Linked DNA regions of Stegostoma tigrinum. Each later gene encodes a partner of the first gene's protein in a complex. Links are inferred from orthologs where the notes say so. Each region holds a gene or a part of one and is shown in the gene's direction. Other genes may lie near its edges.

Region 1 (9,972 bases):
CCAAAGATGCTCCAATAAAAATTATTAGGTTCAGCATGAATGAACAATTCATTGTGTACATTGGCTAAGCCACACACCTGCCATTTCTCACTTTGAACTTCTCCAAAAAAGTAGTATCTCACAGCCATATTATTTCTGTCAGTGACAAATAACACAAGTTAAAAGAAGAATATGATACAAAGTCTATTGCTAGAATTTTTCTCAGTCATGGGAAGTGACATTACTGCCAAGGCTAGCATTTTTGGCCCATCACAAACTGCCATTGAGTTTCTCTCCCCTCTTCCCCAAGTGAATGCGAGATCTTTACACCTCATATTCCAAGCGAGCTAACCCTGATAAATTTCTCATCATAGAATTGTACAGTGCAGAACATGCCAATCTGCTCTATCTCGTCTCTGCCAGAAATTTGAAAGATATTTTTGATTAATCACACTCATTAGGAAATATCATTGATGAAGCACTAAAGACAGGAGTCCTTGAACGAATCATCTTAATCTGCTTCATCAAGGGCATTCCCTCTGTCATAAGGTCATAGCGGGAATGTTCGTTGAAAAGATTGCACACCATAAAGCACCACTTATTACTCATCAGAAATAGAAGCAGTCCACATCCAAATGCTGCAAGAACTGGACAGAATCCAGGTTTAGGCTGACAAGTGGCAAGTAACAGTCACATCTCTCAAATGCCAGATAATGACCATCTCCAACAGGAGAAAGCCTAACAACTATCTGTATACATTCAATGATATTATCACCTCTGAATTCCTCATGACCAACATCTAGGTTCTAACAATTGATCAGAAACTGAACTGAACCAGCAATTCAAATACAGTGTTTGTAAGAGCAAGATAGAGACCAACTCACCTCCTGATTCCCCAAAGCCTGCCCACCATCTGCAAGGCGTAAGCCAGGTGTATGATGGAATGTTCCTCACTTGCCTGGTGAGATAAGCTCCACCAACACTCAAGAAGATTGACACCATCCAGGACAAAACAGCCCACTTGATTGGTACCACATCCACAAATAATCACTCCTTTCATCACTGAACCTCAGTAGCAGTGTGTATGGCCTGCAATGATATATGTCAGAACTTCACTAAGCTTCCTTAGACAATACGTACAGCTCCCACTTCAAGTCTGTCACCATCCTGACTTGGAAATATATCACCATTCAGTATCACTGTCTCAAAATCATTCCCTAATAGCACTGTGGCTCTACCTACATCAAAGGAGCTACAGCAGTTCAAGAAGACACTCACCATCTCCTCTTCAGGTGCAATCTGCTTTAAAATGCCTCTTAATGTTTATTGCTTTGATCCATATTTTGATCATTTGTCCTCGTATCTTTGTAGTTGAGTTGGTATCAAATGTTACTTTGTAATCCTCTTCTAAAGCACCTTGTGATCATTTCATTTTGATACAATTTGCTATATAAATGTAGAGTAATGGAGCTGTACAGTATAGAAACAGATCCATCAGTCCAATTTGTCAATGCTGATTAGATATCCGAAATTAATCTACTTCTATTTGTCAGCATTTGATCTATATCCCTCCAAAGCCTTCCCATTCATATACCCTTCCAAATGCCTTTTAAATGCTGTAATTGTGCTAGCCTCCACCACTTCCTCTGACAGCTCATTCCATATATACACCACCCTTTGCACGAAAAAGTTGCTCTTTGATCTCGTTTAAAGCTTAAACTTATGCCCTCTCGTTTTGGGGTCCCTCACCCCGAGAAGAAGTCCTTGTCTACTCATCCTATTTATGCCCCTCATGATTTTATAAACCTCTATCGGGTCATCCCTCAGCCTCCGACGCACCATGGAAAATAGCCCCAGATTATTCAGTCTTTCTCTATAGCTCAAACTCTCCAACTCTGGCAATATCCTTGAAAATCTTTCTGAGCACTTTCAAGTCTCACAACATCCTTCCCATAGCAGAAAGACCTGAACTGAACACAGTTTTCCAAAAGCGGCTGAACCAACGTCTGGTACAGTCACAACATGACTTCCCAATTAAGAGATAACGAAGTGTAGATCTGGATGAACACAGCAGGCCAAGTAGCATCTTAGGAGAACAAAAGCTTATGTTTCAGGCCTAACCTGAAGAAGTTACCCTCCTGCCTCTGAAGAAACCTTTTCTGATGAAGGGTCTAGGCCCAGAACATCAGTTTTTGAGCTCCTAAGACGCTGCTTGGCCTGCTGTGTTCATCCAGCTCCACACTTTGTTATCTCGGATTCTCCAGCATCTGCAGTTCCCATTATCTATGACTTCCCAATTCCTGTACTCAATGCACTGACCAGTAAAGGCAAGCACACCAAAGAACTTCTTCACTATCCTGTCTATCTGCGACTCCACTTTCAAGGAACTATGAACCTGCACTCCAAGGACTTTGTTCAACAACACTCCCCAGGGTCTTACCATTAAGTGTATTAGTCCTGCCCTCATTTGCCTGTCTAAAATGCAGCACCTTACATTTATCTGAATTAAGCACCATCAGCCACTCCTTGGGTCATTGGCTCTTCTGATCACCATCCCATTTTTCTCTGAGGTAATGTTCTTCCCTGTCCACCACACCTCTAATTTTGGCATCATCTTCCAATTTACTAACCGTACCCCTGATGATCACATCCAAATCATTTGTATAAATGATGAAAAGTAGTGAATTGAGCAGCAATCCTCCTGGCACACCGCTGGTCACAGGCCTCCAGTCTGAAAGGTAACCCTCCACCACGTCCCTCTGTCTCCCACCTTCGAATCAATTCTATGCCCAAATGTCTAGTCTTCCTTGTTTTCTGTGAGATCTAACCTCCCTAAACAGTCTACTCACAGAACCTTGTTGAATGCCTTACTGAAGTCCATATAGATCATGTCCAATGCTCTGCCTTCATCAATGCTCTTTGTTACTTCTTCATAAAACTCAATCAAGTTAGTGAGACATGACTTCCCATGCACAAATCCATGCTGACAATCCCTAATCAGTCCTTGCCTTTCCAAATACATATAAGCCCTGTCTACCAGAATCCTCTCCAACAACTTGCTCACCACTGATGTCAGGCTCAGTGGGCTATAGATCCTGGCTTTTCCTTCCCACCTTTTTGAATAAGAGCAACAGATTAGCCAAACTCCAGTCTTCCAGCACCTCACTTGTGGTTATTGATGACAGAAATATCTCAGCAAGGGGCCCAGCAATCACTTCCTGAGCTTCCCACAGAGTTCTAGGATACACTGGATCAGGCCCCAGGGATTTATCCACTTTTATGCATTTTCAGGTGTCCAGCACCCCCTCCTCTGTAATATGGTCATTTTTCAAGAAGTTGTTCTTTATTTCTCGAAGTTCTTTAGCTTCCATAGTCTTCTCCACCATAAACACTGATGCAAAATACTTGTTTAGTGTCTGATCTATCTCCTGTGGTTCTACCCTTAGGCAGCCTTGCTGATCTTTAAGGGCCCTATTCATTTGCTGGTGACTCTTTTGCCTTAATGTATTTGTAGAATCCCTTTTGATTCTCCTTAACTCTATTTGTCAAAAGCTACCTCATGTCCCCCTTTTGGCTTTCTGATTTTCCTCTTAAGTATACTTCTACTGGATTTACTTAATCCCTGCAATCGATACCTGACATATGCTTCCTTCTTTATCTTGACCAAAATTTCAATTTCTCTAATCATCCAGCATTCCTTACACCTACTGACCTTGCCCTTCACCCAAACAGTAACATACTGTCTCTGGACACCTGGTATCTCATTTTTGAAGTCTTCCCATTTTTCAACCATCCCTTTACTTGGGAATATCTGTCCCCTATTAACTTCTGAAAGTTCTTGCCTAATGCCATCAAAACTAGCCTTCTTCCAATTTAGAACTTTAAACTTAAGATCCAGTCTATCCTTTTCCATCATTATCTTAAAACTAATAGAACTATGATCACTGGTCCCAAAGTGCTCCCCCACTCACACCTCAGCCATCTGCTCATAATTTGTTGTTAAACATTATAACTAAATCCACTTTCGCTGCCCTTTCAGAATAGTCCATTCCAGATCACAACAACTCACTACATAAAAGAAAATATGATCATTTCCCCTCTGGTTCCTTTTTCAATTATCTTCAACATCAAAAAGAGAGTAGAATGACAAAGTTGAATGGAACAAATCTCTACACAATAAGTTGCCAATCACTCTGTTTCAAAGAAATCAAGTATGTGATAGAAGGTAGCAGATGTCTTTCAGAATTCTCTACCTGTTCTCAATGGCAAGCACCACTTGAATGAGATTAAATTAGTTCCATGTCTTAGCAAAGCTATCTTCCTCTCTCCCCGCATAGAATGACTCATTCTCAGTCTTCAGAACTATCTGAGATCAAGAAGGAGAATTTTGTTGCAGCCTTTTGGATGATGCATGTCACTGAGGTTGCCTGAGGAAGTCAAAGATGCCTTTAACAATCTCAATGAAACTTTGCCAGGCAGACATCTACAACAGAGAAAGCAAAGCTTTCAAATCTAAGAGGGAACTAAGAAATGTGGGTAGTCCATAGCAGGTTGCTGAACATGTAGGAAGAAAATAGGCATGTCACTGAGTTTGGGGGGAGGTGGAAGGGTAGATAACCCATCACCCTGTGTTATCAATGATTTGGTGGATAATGTTGTTATGTCTGCGTCAGAAGGTTGTTTAGTTCAGATTTCAAACTGCTGGCCTTGAGCACATGACCTAATTTGACACAGGCAGTGCTGAACTACCAAAGTTCTGCTTTTCAGGTATAACATGCAAAAAAACAGGCGAATATAAATAATCTATGGTTATTTCAAGATGCTTGTGAGACCATGTTATACATAAATTGACTGCCTTGGTTCCTTCATTCTAATAGTGACTACAAATTTTAAAAAAACTTCCTTGATTATGAAATGCTTTGGGATGTCCTGAATCCCTGAAAGATGCTATAGAAATGCCAGTCTTCCATTAATTTTCTTTTAACTCAGATGGTTTGCATCCTCCAAAGTGTCAAATCCTTTGCATTTATCTTACATAGTTGTTTAATGACCTGCAAGTTACAGATCCTGCACCTATCTGTTCAGGAAGGTTTGGGGTGCACAGTGTACAGCAATGAATGATTGTGAACTGTTCTCTTCTCAAAACAGTAATCTCCACACATTCTAAGGATTCACATAAGTGGCACTTAATGAATATGGCAGTCAACTGCTTGATTATTTATATGAAAATTTCCTTGTAAATGTCAACGGAAGGAAGCCACAGGGCCAAGGACCAGCCACAAAGCACAATAACCCACGTGTCATGATGAAATGACCGTATTTGTGACTGTGGCAGAAACTGTCTGTTTAACATAATAAACCCTTTTCCAATCACCCAACTGTGCATCACCTTCAACTGAAAATCCATTCCAATGTCTTCAATTCCATTGAATCCCCAGCTCCCTCCTGGATGAATTTCATCTCACTGTATCAAGGGCTGACTTCTCAAGCGTCATGGGACAGAGCTATTGCTGAGGACGCTTTAGTTTAACGCCTCTCTCTCTCTGTTCTGTGTCCTTAAACCCCATCCAGTAACTTCCCGGTTGTTCGGACTCCTAGCCCCCGTTGCATTGCAGCCGGCGTTGTTTCAGCACCATGGACAGCGCAGAGCCCGCTCCGGTGCTCAGTTGATACCTTTAACTGATACTGCGGCCAGGTGCTGGCTCCGACACTCCAATCACAGGCGAGGGGAATGGGGAGGGGTTGACGTCAGCCCCCTCCAATAAAGCGGCGAATCACGTCCAGAATAAAAAAAAATCAGACGAGGTGGAGATGGATCAACCAGTGCCACAGACAGCCTGGATGCCCAGGCACCAACAGTGTTCCCTTCGCATATAACGTGAGGAACGCTGAGCTTCTCGCTACTGCTGCCCTGAGTGAGCTCAATTCACCCAGAGCATTGCACTGACCAGGAGGTGCGTCGCACTTATCACATCTGAGGATCTGCTGAAGTTTTGAATCAACAGTGCTCCTTTTTTTAATTTGAAAAAAATCCCTTACGTTCTGCTAAAAACAAAAGAAAAACATTGCAATGGAGCTACTCGCCCAGCCCTGCATTGATCTAGCTGCCAACGGGTCCCAGCTCTGCCAGACTAGCCTGACCACCATGAATTCCAGCCTGGGCTCAGCCAACTGGTCATATCTCTGCATCAACTCGAGCTCGAACCCGTGTAACGGCACCGAGAACGTCCCTCTGAGCAAGAGTTCGGCTTCAATCATCATCGCCATCATCATCACTGCTCTTTACTCCATTGTCTGTGTGCTGGGACTGGTGGGCAACGTCCTGGTCATGTATGTGATTGTCAGGTAACGTACAGTCTCAACTCCAAGACATCCGTCCTTCCCCTCTCGCTGCCTCTCTATCTGTGTGTCTTTCCGTCTGTCTGTCTCTCTCTCTCTCTCTGGCTCTCTCGCGAAACCTCTGTCAGCATCAATGGATTTTGACTAGAGTACCATCTCTCACTCGCCTCACTTCATTGATTGGTAGTATTGGCGTCTAACTTCAGTACAATGTTCTTGTTTACATATAAGCCAATGTGCATAACCTTACGAACTACTGCACATTCAATGTTGATGCATGGATTTGAGAGGTTCGGCACAGTTCAATTTCGTAGAGATGAATTGCGTGAATTTCACGTTAATAACTGCGTATCTGTGGACTGATTGAATGTTTATGGATTAATAGCTGTATTTAATAGATATCTGTGGGGCGGGATGGGTTTGCCACTTGTCTTAGTTGCTCAAACAGCGCCATCTAACCGGTAAGTGTGGGAATGCAGCGTCTAAAGAACCCTCAGATGGACCCTCGTTTCAAATCGTGCAGTCAATCCTCAACGTACATTTTTACTTCTTTATAAACTCCTTTCTCACGTTTTCAATAGGAACTACCTTTAAGCGCTCCTCAAAACCTAATTACAACTCCTCCACTCTCCTCTCACCAACACCTCTCCCCAACCCCATCCATATTCACTGGTGAAACTCTAGTGCTATCCCTGAGGGAAGGACAAAATTGACATCGTGACATACTGATAGAGAAAATCACACATGCTTCCTCCTTTCAACCAACTGCATTCTAACACCGGCGTGGCATCCAACTCCACCCCAGTCTGCAGACCAGGTCATCAAGAGCCGAAGGAAGATGACACAGTCTCAGGCTATCAGCAAATTTGAATGACTCGATATTTCAATCTGAGACAACAACAGAGAATGCCAGAAAAACTCAGCAAATCTGGCAGCACATCCGTAGAGAGAGGATCCGAGTGAATAGTTTGAGGTTCGTATGACTTGTTCACACCGAAAGGTGCTGCAAAAAAGGTTCTTGTTCTCTTTTCCTATTCTCGAGTAATAATAGCTCTATTACAATTTAATAACCATCCAAACCCACCCACCACTCAATATCCTTTTTTTTAATTCACTCATGGGATGTGGATATAGCTGGGCCAGCCAACATTTATTGCCCATCCCTAGTTGCCCTTGAGAAGGTGGTAGTGACCTGCCTTCTTGAAACAATGCTGTCCATGTGCTGTAGATAGACCCACAAAACCCTTAGGGAAGGAATTCCAGAATTTTGAACTAGTGACAGTTAAGAAACAGCAATATATTTCCAAGTCAGGATGGTACATGGCTTAGAAGGAACTTGTAGGTGGTGATGTTCCTATGTCCTTCTAGATGAAAGTGGTTATGAGGTTGGAGTGTGCTGTCTGACCATTTTTGGTGAATTTCTGCACTGTATCTTGTCGATAGTACACATTTCTGCTTCTGAGCATCAGAGGGGAGGGGCGTGGATGTTTGTGGATGTCATGCCAATCAAGCAATAGACAATAGACAATAGGTGCTGGAGTAGGCCATTCAGCCCTTCAAGCCAGCACCACCATTCATTATGATCATGGCTGATCATCCACAATCAGTACCCTGTTCATGCCTTATCCCCATAACCCTTGATCCCACTATCTTTAAGACCTCTATCCATCTCTTTCTTGAAAATATCCAGAGAGTTGGCCTCCACTGCCTTCTGGGGCAGAGCATTTCATATATCCACCACTCTCTGGGTGAAGAAGTTTTTCCTCAACTCTGTTCTAAATGGCCTAACCCTTATTTTTAAACTGTGTCCTCTGGTCCTGGACTCACCCATCAGCGGAAACATGCTTCCTGCCTCCACAGTGTCCAATCCCTTAATAATCTTATACGTCTCAATCAGATCCCCTCTCATCCTTCTAAACTCAAGGGTATACAAGCCCAGTCGCTCCAATCTTTCAACATATGATAGTCCCGCCATTCCGGGAATTGACCTTGTGAACCTACGCTGCACTCCATCAATAGCAAGAATGTCCTTCCTCAAATTGGGAGACCAAAACTGCACACAATACTCCAGGTGCGGTCTCACCAGGGCCCTGTACAGCTGCAGAAGGACCTCTTTGCTCCTATACTCAATTCCCCTTGTTATGAAGGCCAGCATGCCATTAGCTTTCTTCACTACCTGCTGCACCTGCATGCTTGCTTTCATTGACTGATGTACAAGAACACCTAGACCTCGTTGTGCTTCCTGGATGGTGTCAAGTTTCTTGAGTGTTGTTGGGGCTGCATTCATCCAGGCAAATGGGAAGCATTCCATCACACTCCTGATTTGTGCCTTGTCGATGGTGAACAGGCTTTGGGGAGTCAGGAGGTGAGTTATTAATTGTAGGATTCCTAGTATCTGATCTGATCTTGTAACCATTGTGTTTATGTGGTGAGTCCAGTTGAGTTCAATGTTAATGCCAAAGATGTTGATTGTAAGGTCACACCATTAAATGTGAAGGGACGGTAGTTACATTGTCTCTTATTGGGAATTAGCTGGCATTTGTATGGCATTAATGTTACTTGCCACTTGTCGGCCCAAACCTAGACATTGTCTAGATCCTGTTGCATTTGGACATGAACTGCTTCAGTATCTGAGGAATCGCAACAGGTTCACCAATGATTGCACATCTCCTCTTCTAACTTTATGATGGAGAATAGATCATTAGTGAAGCAGCTGAAGATGGAAGGGCCTAGGACAGTACCCTGAGGAACTCCTGTTGCGATGTCCTGGATCTGAAATGGCTGCCCTGCAACAACCACAGTCAGTACCTATGTGCTGGTATGACTTCAACCTGCAGAAAGTTTGCCCTTTGTTACCCATTGACTCTAATTTTCCTAGGCTCCTTGGTGCCATTATTCTTTTCACAAGACATTTCCTTGCTCTCTAACTTTACCTTGCAATCAATGACAATTGATTGACTTGAACTGCAGGATGCTGAATCTCTGTTTGAAAGGGTAGTGTAGAAGGAACTTTATTGTTTTGTCCTAGCAAACATTCCCAGGGAAAATTGCAGGTTAACCAGTGAAGGAATCTGTCTTTTCAATGAGATGTCAAATGGAGGCATTACCCAAACCCTTCCATCTGCTCCCATATGTAACAAAATAAGTCATGACACTTTTTCAAGCAGGTACAATGGGAAAGATGATCTCAGTGATCTGATCAATATCTATCTATCCATCAATCAATGTCACAATCAAAAACAGATTATCTGATTGAGAGATTGTAAGAACTGCTGATGCTGGAGTCAAAGATAACACAGCGTGGAGCTGGGGGATCTCAGCAGGCCAGGCAGGATCAGAAGAACAGGAAAGCTGAAGCTTCAGGTCCAGCCCCTTCTTCAGAAATGGGGGAGGGGGAAGGGAGCTCTGAAATAAATAGGGAAAGCAGTGGTGGGTCTGGGGAAGGCAGGTGGGATGGTGATAGGTGAGTGCAAGTGGGCAGTGGTGGGGATTGATCAGTGAGGTGGGAGGAGCAGATAGGTGGGAGAGAAAACGGACAGGGATGAGAGGGAGGTTTGGTCGTGGGATGAGGCCAGAGGTGGGGAGATTTTGAAACTAGTAAGGCCCGCATTGAGACCATTAGACTGTAGGCTCCCAAAGTGGAATATGAGGTGC
Region 2 (9,848 bases), about 3.6 Mb from region 1:
TGGTCAGTCATCTCAGCTCCAGGACATCACTGCAGGAGGTCCTCAGGATAGTACAATGGGATTATTGTACAAAATGCGGAGGAATGGAATTATTGCACAAAATGCGGAGGAATGGAATTGTGGGAGATATAGCAGTTTGGATCGGAAATTGGCTTGCTGAAAGAAGACAGAGGGTGGTAGTTGATGGGAAATGTTCATCCTGGAGACCAGTTACTAGTGGTGTACCACGAGGGTCGGTGTTGGGTCCACTGCTGTTTGTCATTTTTAGAAATGACCTGGATGAGGGCGTAGAAGGATGAAGTAAATTTGCAGACAACACTAAGTTCGGTGGAGTTGTGGATAGTGACGAAGGATGCTGTAAGTTGCAGAGAGACATAGATAAGCTGCAGAGCTGGGCTGAGAGGTGGCAAATGGAGTTTAATGCAGACAAGTGTGAGGTGATGCACTTTGGTAGGAGTAACCGGAAGGCAAAGTACTGGGCTAATGGTAAGATTCTTAGTAGTGTAGATGAGCAGAGAGATCTCGGTGTCCATATACACAGATCCTTGAAAGTTGCCACCCAGGTTGACAAGGCTGTTAAGGAGGCGTACAGTGCTTTAGCTTTTATTAATAGAGGGATCGAGTTCCGGAACCAAGAGGTTATGCTGCAGCTGTACAAAACTCTGGTGTGGCCACACTTGGAGTATTGCGTACAGTTCTGGTCACCACGTTATAAGAAGGATGTGGAAGCTTTGGAAAGGGTGCAGAGGAGATTTACTAGGATGTTGCCTGGTATGGAGGGAAGGTCTTACGAGGAAAGGCTGAGGGACTTGAGGCTGTTTTCATTAGAGAGTAGAAGGCTGAGAGGTGACTTAATTGAAACATATAAAATAATCAGGGGGTTAGATAGGGTGGATAGGAAGAGCCTTTTTCCTAGGATGGTGACAGCGAGCACGAGGGGGCATAGCTTTAAATTGAGGGGCGAAAGATATAGGACAGATGTCAGAGGTAGTTTTTTTACTCAGAGAGTAGTAAAGGAATGGAACGCTTTGCCTGCAACGGTAGTAGATTCGCCAACTTCAGGTACATTTAAGTCGTCATTGGACAAGCATATGGACGTACATGAAATAGTGTAGGTTAGATGGGCTTGAGATTGGTATGACAGGTTGGCACAACATCGAGGGCCGAAGGGCCTGTACTGTGCTGTAATGTTCTATGTTCTCTGTGATGGCGAGCACGAGGGGGCATAGCTTTAAATTGAGGGGTGAAAGATATTGGACAGGTGTTAGAGGTAGTTTCTTTACTCAGAGAATAGTAAGGGAATGGAACGCTTTGCCTGCAATGGTTGTAGATTCGCCAACTCTAGGTACATTTAAGTCGTCATTGGATGAGCATATGGACGTACATGGAATAGTGTAGGTTAGATGGGCTTCAGATCGGTATGACAGGTCGGCACAACATCGAGGGCCGAAGGGCCTGTACTGTGCTGTTATGTTCTATGATAGTCCTAGGTCCACCTATCTTCAGCTGCTTCATCAATGACCTTCCTTCCATGATAAGGTCAGAAGGGGGGATGTTCAATGAGATTGCATAATGTTGAGCACTACTTATGAGTCCTCTAATACTGAAGCAGTCCATGTACACATGCATCAAGATCCGAACAATATCCAGGCTTGGGCTGACAAGTGGCAAGTAACATTGGCGCCACACAAATACCAGGCAATGACCATCTCCAACAGACAACAATCTAACCACGGCTCCTGGACATTCAATGGCGTTACCATCACTGAAGACCCAACTATAACATCTTGGGGGTTACCTCTGACCAGAAACTCAACTGGTCTTGCCATATAAACACAGTGACTACAAGAGCAGGTCAGAGGCTGGGACTACTGCCACGAGTAACTCACCTCCTGATTCACCAAACCACCTACAAGGCACAAGTCAGGAGTGTGATGGAATAAGGTCAATTTGCCTGGATGAGGGCAGCCGCAACAACACTCAAGAAGCTTAACAACATCCAGAACGAAGCAACCTGCTTGATTGCCACTACATCCACTCCCTCCACCACTGATGCTCAGTAATAGCAATGTGCAATACCCATAAGATGCAGTACAGAAACTCACCAAACATCCTCAGACAGCACCTCCCAAACCCACAACCTCTTCCATCTTGAAGGACTAGGGTGGCAGATACATAGAACCACCATCACTTACAAGTTTCCCGCAGTCACTCACCATCCTGACTTGGAAATATGTTGCTGATCCTTCACTGGAAATCCTGGAATTCTCTCCCTAATAGCATTGTGAGTCAACCCACATCAGGTGGACTGTAGCAGTTCAAGAAGGCAACTCATTACCACCTTCTCAAAGGCAACTAGGGACAGGCAAAAAATTCTAGCCCAGACAGTGACACTCACATTCCACAAATGAATCAAAAAAGGAGCGGTTAGAGAAATATCAGTATCTACTTGCTGGAGTTTTGAAGGATGAGTGGGGAATCTCCTTATAACTTACAGAAACCTTTGGGGCCAGGATATAGTGGATGTGGAATAGATATTTCCACTAGGAGGAGTGGCCAGGGCAAGGACACAGCCTCAGAGTGAAGGGATGACCCTTTAGAACCGCGATGAGGCGAAATTTCTTCAGCCAAAAGGTGGAGAATCTGTAGAACTCATTGTTGCAGAAGGCTGTGGAGGCCAAGTTATTGAGTTTTTTTCCTTCTTTATTCATTCACCTGATGATTGCATCACTAGCCAGGAAGCATTTTTGCCCATCCTTAATTGCCTAGGGAATAGTTCAGAGTCAACCACGTTGCTGTGGGTATGGAGTCACATATAGGCCAGGCCAGGTATGGATGGCAGTTTCCTTCCCTAAAGGATATTAGTGAACCAGGTGGGCTTTTGACAATTGACAATGTATTCACGGTCATCATTAGGCTCTTAATTCCAGATATTTTATTGAATTCAAATTCACCATCTGCTGTGGCAGGTATTGAGCCTGGGTCTTGAGAACACTATCTGGGTCACTGGATTAATAGTCCAGCGATAATACCACTAGGCCATTACCTTTAAGACAGAGATAGATATATTTTTGATTTGTCAGGGGACCAAAGGTTATGGGCAGTAAGCGAAAGAATAGAATTAAGAAACATATTAGCCATAATCTAATGGTGGAACAAACCCCATGGGCTGAATGACCTAATTCAACTCCTACATCTTATGATCTTATCAATACTGCTTGAGGTTTCCTTGAAAAACTCCAATAAATTAGTAAGACACAATTTCACCTTCATGAAGTCACACTGACTGTGCTTGATCAGATTATGATCTTCAACCATTCAACAAAGGCTTGACTATGTATTTAGAAACTGACATATTTATATAGTTGTTAATGTTTTATGGTTGTTGGGAGACTCTCATCCAGACTCCTGATGTCTGGTGATGGTTGTATACAAGTGACGAGATGGGCCACCAAAAGCTGACACTAATGAACATCACTGCCAGGCTGTGCAAGTTGGGCCCATCTCCTCCTACCCTCCAGCAACAAATTAGAGAGGTCATTATGTACACTTTGACTTTCTTTATCCACCCACACAGCTCTAATGGGTCTGAGTGGAATCGAGTAAGATCAGGCCCCAGATGTGTACAGCTTCATCCTAATGCGTTCTTCAACTTGCGCACTTTACAGCGTATTATTAAAAAAAACACTTAAAAGGCTCTTTTCCTTTTTTCAACATTAGTGCAAGGTACACACAGATGGGGCAGCTTTCAGAGTATCCTAAGGAGGAAATTAGACTCATGGATTGTTTCCTCTGCTGATGGACAAATATCTACCTGACTCATTTCTCAAGGTTTTCAGTGTTTTCAGTTCAGTGTTATATTTAATGAAATGAGATTCAAGAAAAGCAAGATTGATTGAATATACAGGAGGCTTGAGTGCCTCTCTTCTAAACAGCTGAACAGTCAAGCACTTACACTCTTGAAGACTCACAGATGTAGCCTTGTAGCACACAACCTGATCTGCCAGGTTTGTTCCTGTCAGTAGGCTCACTCTGGCTTCAGCTATATCTCCTCTGCCTAAGTCCCAGCTTGTACCCATTCTCGGGTTTTAGGGAGAAAGGAAAGAGAAGAGAAAGGGAAAATGTTCCAAGTCAACAAGGGGCTCGAGTTTAAGCAAGCCCTCAATGTGATACAAAAAAAAATCAAGTTAGCCAGTTCAAAATCACTGACCAGCATCTTCTGAATGGACCTGGGACAGACACCTAAACACAGATTTTTCGTTCTTGTACACTGAAGGCTAGCAGGAAAGGACAGAGTAAAGCCTCTAAAACAATTCACTGGTGAACTCCTGTGGTCATCTTTGTTCCCATCAGATACAGGATCTCACAACCCAAAGTTTCCCAGTCACTCTGGTCCCTGAGCTCCATATTCCCCAGTCACACTAATGCTAAAGGCTCCTGATCTCCCCATAACCCTGGTCCCACTGTCCACTTTCTCCATGTTGTCCTGTTCTCTCTGTCACTCTGGTCCCAAAGACCCATATTCCTCCAGTCACCCTAGTTGCAAAGCCTTCTAAACTTCTCCCCCCACCCACCATCACCCCAATCCCACTGTCCCCTTTCTGGTCCCACAACCTTCCGAACTCCTCTGTCAATGTGGTTGCATAGCCCTGTTCTCCCCATTACCTTTTTCTTTCTTGGTGTGAGTTGTTTTCTGACCTTTACAGACTATTGTGATATGGAAAAGAATTTCGTTCCAGTAAGTGAGGAGGGCAGGTGGCCTGTTGCCTTGTCACCGGAGAAAATCATACACAAAAAGACAGGAGATGTGAGCTTGTGTTCACACTGCCTCTAATTGTCCATTTAATTTGATGTTGATCTATTGAAACGTTGCTGTGTAAATGCACACTGAAGCTTAAAATCAGCGTTTCATTGAGAGGAAAGGTTTGGAAATTAAAAACGGTGTCATCAGTGGCCAATGAAGTTTTTGAAAGGTGTTAGATTTTGAGAGGATGCCGTGAAATTTCCTGTGGGGAGACGTGCTAATCCTCCTCACTGTGTAACCAGTGGAAATGGTTCTATTTACACATGCGACGTCTGTTAAAAGCTCTGATTCCTTTGGAGTGCTGGCAGTTTCAGATTTCCTACAATTATTGTCCTTGAAAAGGTTGATTTAATCGTGATGACGTGTTTGATTGAAGTACAAATAGGAAGAATGGTATAAAAAGGCAGAGAGTTGCAGTCAAAGCAGATACAGAAACAGAGCTTCCACGAGAAGTGTCTTTGCAACAAGAACAGGTAAGGGAATTCTGGACTTAGCATGCAATTGTTAATAAATGGGGTAGAAACAAGTTACTCGTTTAATAACAACTAGCTTAAGTCGACGATATTTTTGTAGGAATTTTATTATTCAGCGTTTACTGCGTAAATCCTGGACTATTGTAAGATTTTTCAGATATTCCAGGACTGCATCCCACTCACTGTACCAGCCTGCTGTCCAATCTCCAATATGCTCCACATGCTTCAACCTGCTGTCCAGTCTCTGGCACACTCCAAAGCCTGACGCCTGCTGTCTAATCTCCAGTGGATTCAACATGCAACAGCCGACTGTCCGGTCTCTCCTACACTCGATATCCCATAGCCCGCTCTACAGTCTCTTCTACACTCCACAAGTCACAGCCCACTGTCCAGTCTCTCCTACAGTGTACAATTCACAGCCTGCTGTCCAGTCTCTGCTCCACTGTATACCCCACAGATTAGTGTCCAATTTCTGCTAGACTCTACACCCCACAGACTGCTGTCCAGTCTCTCCCACACTCTACACCCCACAGATTAGTGTCCAGGCTCTCCTACACTCTACACTCCACAGACTGGTTTCCAGTCTCTCCTACACTCAGCACCCCACAACTCACTGTCCAGCCTCTCCTACACTCTACACTCCACAACCCCTGTTCAGTCTCTCCTACGCTCTACACCCTACAGCCTGCTGTCCAGTCTCTCCTACACTCTATAATTCACTGCCTGCTGTACAGTCTTCCCTACACTCTGCACACCACAGCCCGCTGTCCAGTCTCTCCTACACTCTACTCCTCACAGCCCATTGTCCAGACTTTCCTACACTCTACACCCCACAGAGCACTGTCCAGTCTCTCCTACGCGTTACGCCCCACAGACCGGCGTCCAGTCTCTCCTACACTCTGCACCCCACAGCCCCTCGTGCAGTCTCTCCGACACTCTACACCTTACAGCCCGCTGTCCACTCTCTCCTACATGCTATAATTCACAGCCCGCTGTACAGTCTCTCCTACACTCTGCACCCCACAGCCTGCTGTCCAGCCTTGCCGACACTCCACACCCTGCAGCCTTCTGTCCAGTTTCATCATACATTTCGTACACTGTGGCCTGGTGTGTAGTCTGTCCTACATTCCACCCCTGCACATACCGTCTCGTCTCTTATAAACTCTACACTCTGAGACTTGTGTTCAATCTTTCCTACAATCCAGATCCTGCGGGTGATGTCCAGTTTTCTCTGCTGTCCACACTCTGTAGCATTCCTGCCATTTGGTCAGAGATTATACGGTTCAAGTCCTGACACAAACAGTCCGAGGCACAGGAGACAGGCTCTCCAGTGGGATACTGTGTCCAGTGGTTGTTCCTTTCTTCTCTTATTTCCTTCAACACTGGAATAAACTGGAATCTCACCTGACCCACCATCACATACTTGTGAATTGTTGGTTAGCTGCAGCAAAGGTGTAAGTTTATTTTAAGACAAGACTACACCAGTTTCTAATTTAAATTCAGAAAATTTTTACTGTGTCAGTAAAGAGCCAATTACAAAGCTGTCTTAAATGAGAGAAAGACCAATTTTGTAATCTGAAAACCCCAAAAAAGTCATAGTAAACGAAAATATATATGAACACTTGAACAAGGAATGAAAGTAGGCCACTTGGCCCCTTGAACCGACTCCACCATTTAATATGATCATGGCTGATTTCGTCACAGCTGCAACTCCACTTTCCTGCTTACTTCCCACAGCTCTTACATTTGTTACTAGTTACAAATCTGTTCGTTTCCTCCTTAAATTTGCTTAGATGTTTTTAAGATGGGTCACCAAACTTGAAATGTGAACTCTTTATACATGATACCAGATTTGCTGAGTTTCTCCAGCTATTTCTATTTTCATTCCAATTATGTCACCCCTGGCTCTTCTAAACTCCAGTGGATGCTGGCATAGCCTGTCTAACATTTCTTTATAAGGCATTCTGCTCATTGCAGCTATTGTTCTAGAAAACCTTTGCTGAACTGCTTCCAACACATTAACATCTTTGTGTAAGTATGATGACCATTACTATACATAGTTCTCCAAATGCAGTCTCATCAATGCCTTGTGCAACTGAAACATAACCACGGGTCCTAGTCTCCCCGCCTAACGGAAACAACTTCCCAGCGTCCACCCCTTCTAAACCATACATTATCTTGTAAGTTTCTATTAGATCTCCCCTCAACCTTCTAAACTCTAATGAGTACAAGCCCAGGATCCTTAGCCGTTCATTATACGTTAAACCTACCATTCCAGGGATCATCCGTGTGAATCTCCGCTGGACACGCTCCAGGGCTAGTATGTCTTTCCTGAGGTGTGGGGCCCAGAATTGGACACAGTATTCTAAATGGGGCCTAACTAAAGCCTCAGAAGCACATCACTGCCTTTATATTCCAACCCTCTTGAGATAAACGACAACATTACATTCGCTTTCTTAATCACAGACTCTACCTGCAAGTTAACCTTTAGACAGTCCTGGACCAACACTCCCACATCCCTCTGTACTTCTGCTTTATGAATTTTCTCATCATTTAGAAAATAGTCCCCACATCCCTTTGTACTTCTGCTTTATGAATTTTCTCACCATCTAGAAAATAGTCCATGCCTGTATTCTTTTTTCCAAACCCCAATTTTAAACAATCATGAGGGAAAGTGGTTGATGCTGTCTACATGGACTTCACTGAAGCCTTTGACAAGGTCCGTCATGGCAGTGGGTACAAAACATGAAGTCACATGGTATTAGGGTGAGCTGGCAAGATGGATACAGAACTGACTTAGCCATAGAAGACGGAGATAGTGGTGCAAGGATTCTTTTCAGAATGGAGGGTTGTGACTAGTGGTGTCCCACAGAGATCAGTGCTGGCACCTCTGCTGTTCATGGTCTACGTAGATGATTTGGAAGAAAACGTAATTGGTCTAATCAATACATTTGCAGAGGATACGAAGATTGGTGGAGTTGTGGATAATGAGGAGGACTGTCAGAAGATGCAGCAGAATATAGATCAGTTAGATGCATGGTCAAAACATTGGCAGATGGAGTTTAATTCCGGTAAATGTGACGTGATGCATTTTGGAAGGTCAAGTTACAGATGGAAATTATACAGTGAATGGCAGAACCCTTCAGAGTATTGAATTGCAGGGAGATCCGGGTGTGCATGTTAACAGATCACTGAAGGTGACAGTCCAGGTAGATAAGGCAGTAAAAAAAAAACGCTTATGGCATGATGGTCTTCAATAGAAGGGGCATTGACTATAAGGATCGGCAAGTTATGCTGTAGCTTTATAAAACTTTAGTTCGATCACACTTAGAATATTGTGTCCATTCTGGTCACCACACTACTAGAGGATGTGGATGCTTCTGAGAGAGCACTGAAAAGGTTTACCAAAATGTTGCATGGTATGATGGATTTTAGCTCAAAAGAAAGGTTGGATAGATTGGGTTTGTTTTCACAGAATGCAGGAGGTTGCGGGGTGGCCTGATAGAAGTTTATAAGATTGTGAATGGCATGAATCGAGTGGGAAGTATGAGGGTGGAGGGGTCAATTACTTGGGGACACAGGTTCAAGGTGTGGGCAGAGGAAAGTTTAAAAGAGATGTGTGACGCAGGTTTTTCATGCAAAGGGTGGTGAGTGCCTGGAATACGCTGCCAGAGGAGGTGATCAAAGCAGATACAAGAGAGAGAGAGAAACTGAGGGAGCTGGGCAGAGAGAAATATAGAGAGTTGGAGAAAGCAAGAGAGAAGGAAAGCTGGAGATCAATGAGATCATGATAATTACAGGTCAGAAAGGCCATTAATCTATCCAGAGACCCTGGAACACCACCGCAACTAGAGAAATCAAAGATGCATTTCAACGACCTAGAGTATTTGCATTCACTCCCTCTGGAAGTTTATTCCACTTTGATTAGTCTTTTTCTGCTACTTACTTTTAATAAAATTACTATCTAGCTGAGGTTGGGCTTTTAACATCATGTTCACCTTCACATGGCCAACTTCAGGGTGAAAAGTCCAACCCTCTTTCTCTAGCCATACTAGACTCCTTGCCATGGGAATGTCTAAGCTGTCAGGGATTTTAAAGATCATGCCCTTTCAATTTCGTGAAGGATATTTAATCAAAGTGAATGAAGGACGTGGGCTGCTTTTAAGTGATTCCAGAGGTGAGAGGACTCCACAAAATCTGGTGGCAGCTGCAGTGGTTGACCAGGACAGGGGTTTCTCCGCCTTTGCGATTTACAGAGGCTTATTACACATGGTTCATGCTGTTATGTCACTATTGGGTAAGGCAAGAATGTAGGCCCCAAAAGTTACCTCAGTCAATGCAGGATTTGAATCTATGTAGTAAGAGTCATTCCTTAGTACACTCATAACCAAATGAGCTAACTGCCAGTTCCCATAACTCAGGCTCTGACCATCAGGAATTCTCTCTGATCTGCCTATCATAGTTGAGTATCTTCCAAGTGGCTGAACTGAACTTGGTACACAGGATGGGTCTGTAACACAAATAGAGACTCACAGAGTACTGGGGAAGGGTTTCTGACTGATGTAGTTTTC

Evidence for each region.
Region 2: the proteins of oprm1 (region 1) and pomca are in contact, whole or in part, in a cryo-EM structure (PDB 8F7Q), measured with the Homo sapiens proteins. The link is inferred for Stegostoma tigrinum from reciprocal best matches to the Homo sapiens genes OPRM1 and POMC. Residues at the interface, in NP_000905.3 of Homo sapiens: Ser66, Met67, Ala70, Ile71, Met74, Gln126, Asn129, Tyr130, Leu131, Met132, Gly133, Trp135, Val145, Ile146, Asp149, Tyr150, Met153, Arg213, Ile217, Asp218, Cys219, Thr220, Glu231, Lys235, Val238, Ile298, Val302, Lys305, Trp320, Ile324; in NP_000930.1 of Homo sapiens: Tyr237, Gly238, Gly239, Phe240, Met241, Thr242, Ser243, Glu244, Lys245, Thr248, Pro249, Leu250, Val251, Leu253.

The regions. Positions count from the first base shown.
Region 1 is NC_081362.1:94,688,035-94,698,006, forward strand, and holds the start of oprm1 (mu-type opioid receptor), read left to right. Parts: upstream 1-5,798; 5' UTR 5,799-6,049; coding exon 6,050-6,324; intron 6,325-9,972. UniProt on the Homo sapiens protein: Receptor for endogenous opioids such as beta-endorphin and endomorphin. Receptor for natural and synthetic opioids including morphine, heroin, DAMGO, fentanyl, etorphine, buprenorphin and methadone.
Region 2 is NC_081362.1:98,311,221-98,321,068, reverse strand, and holds the start of pomca (proopiomelanocortin a), read left to right. Parts: upstream 1-5,201; 5' UTR 5,202-5,277; intron 5,278-5,460; coding exon of another isoform or gene 5,461-5,575; intron 5,576-9,848. Other genes in the region: fibrinogen-like protein 1, read right to left, coding at 4,666-4,767, 5,461-5,575.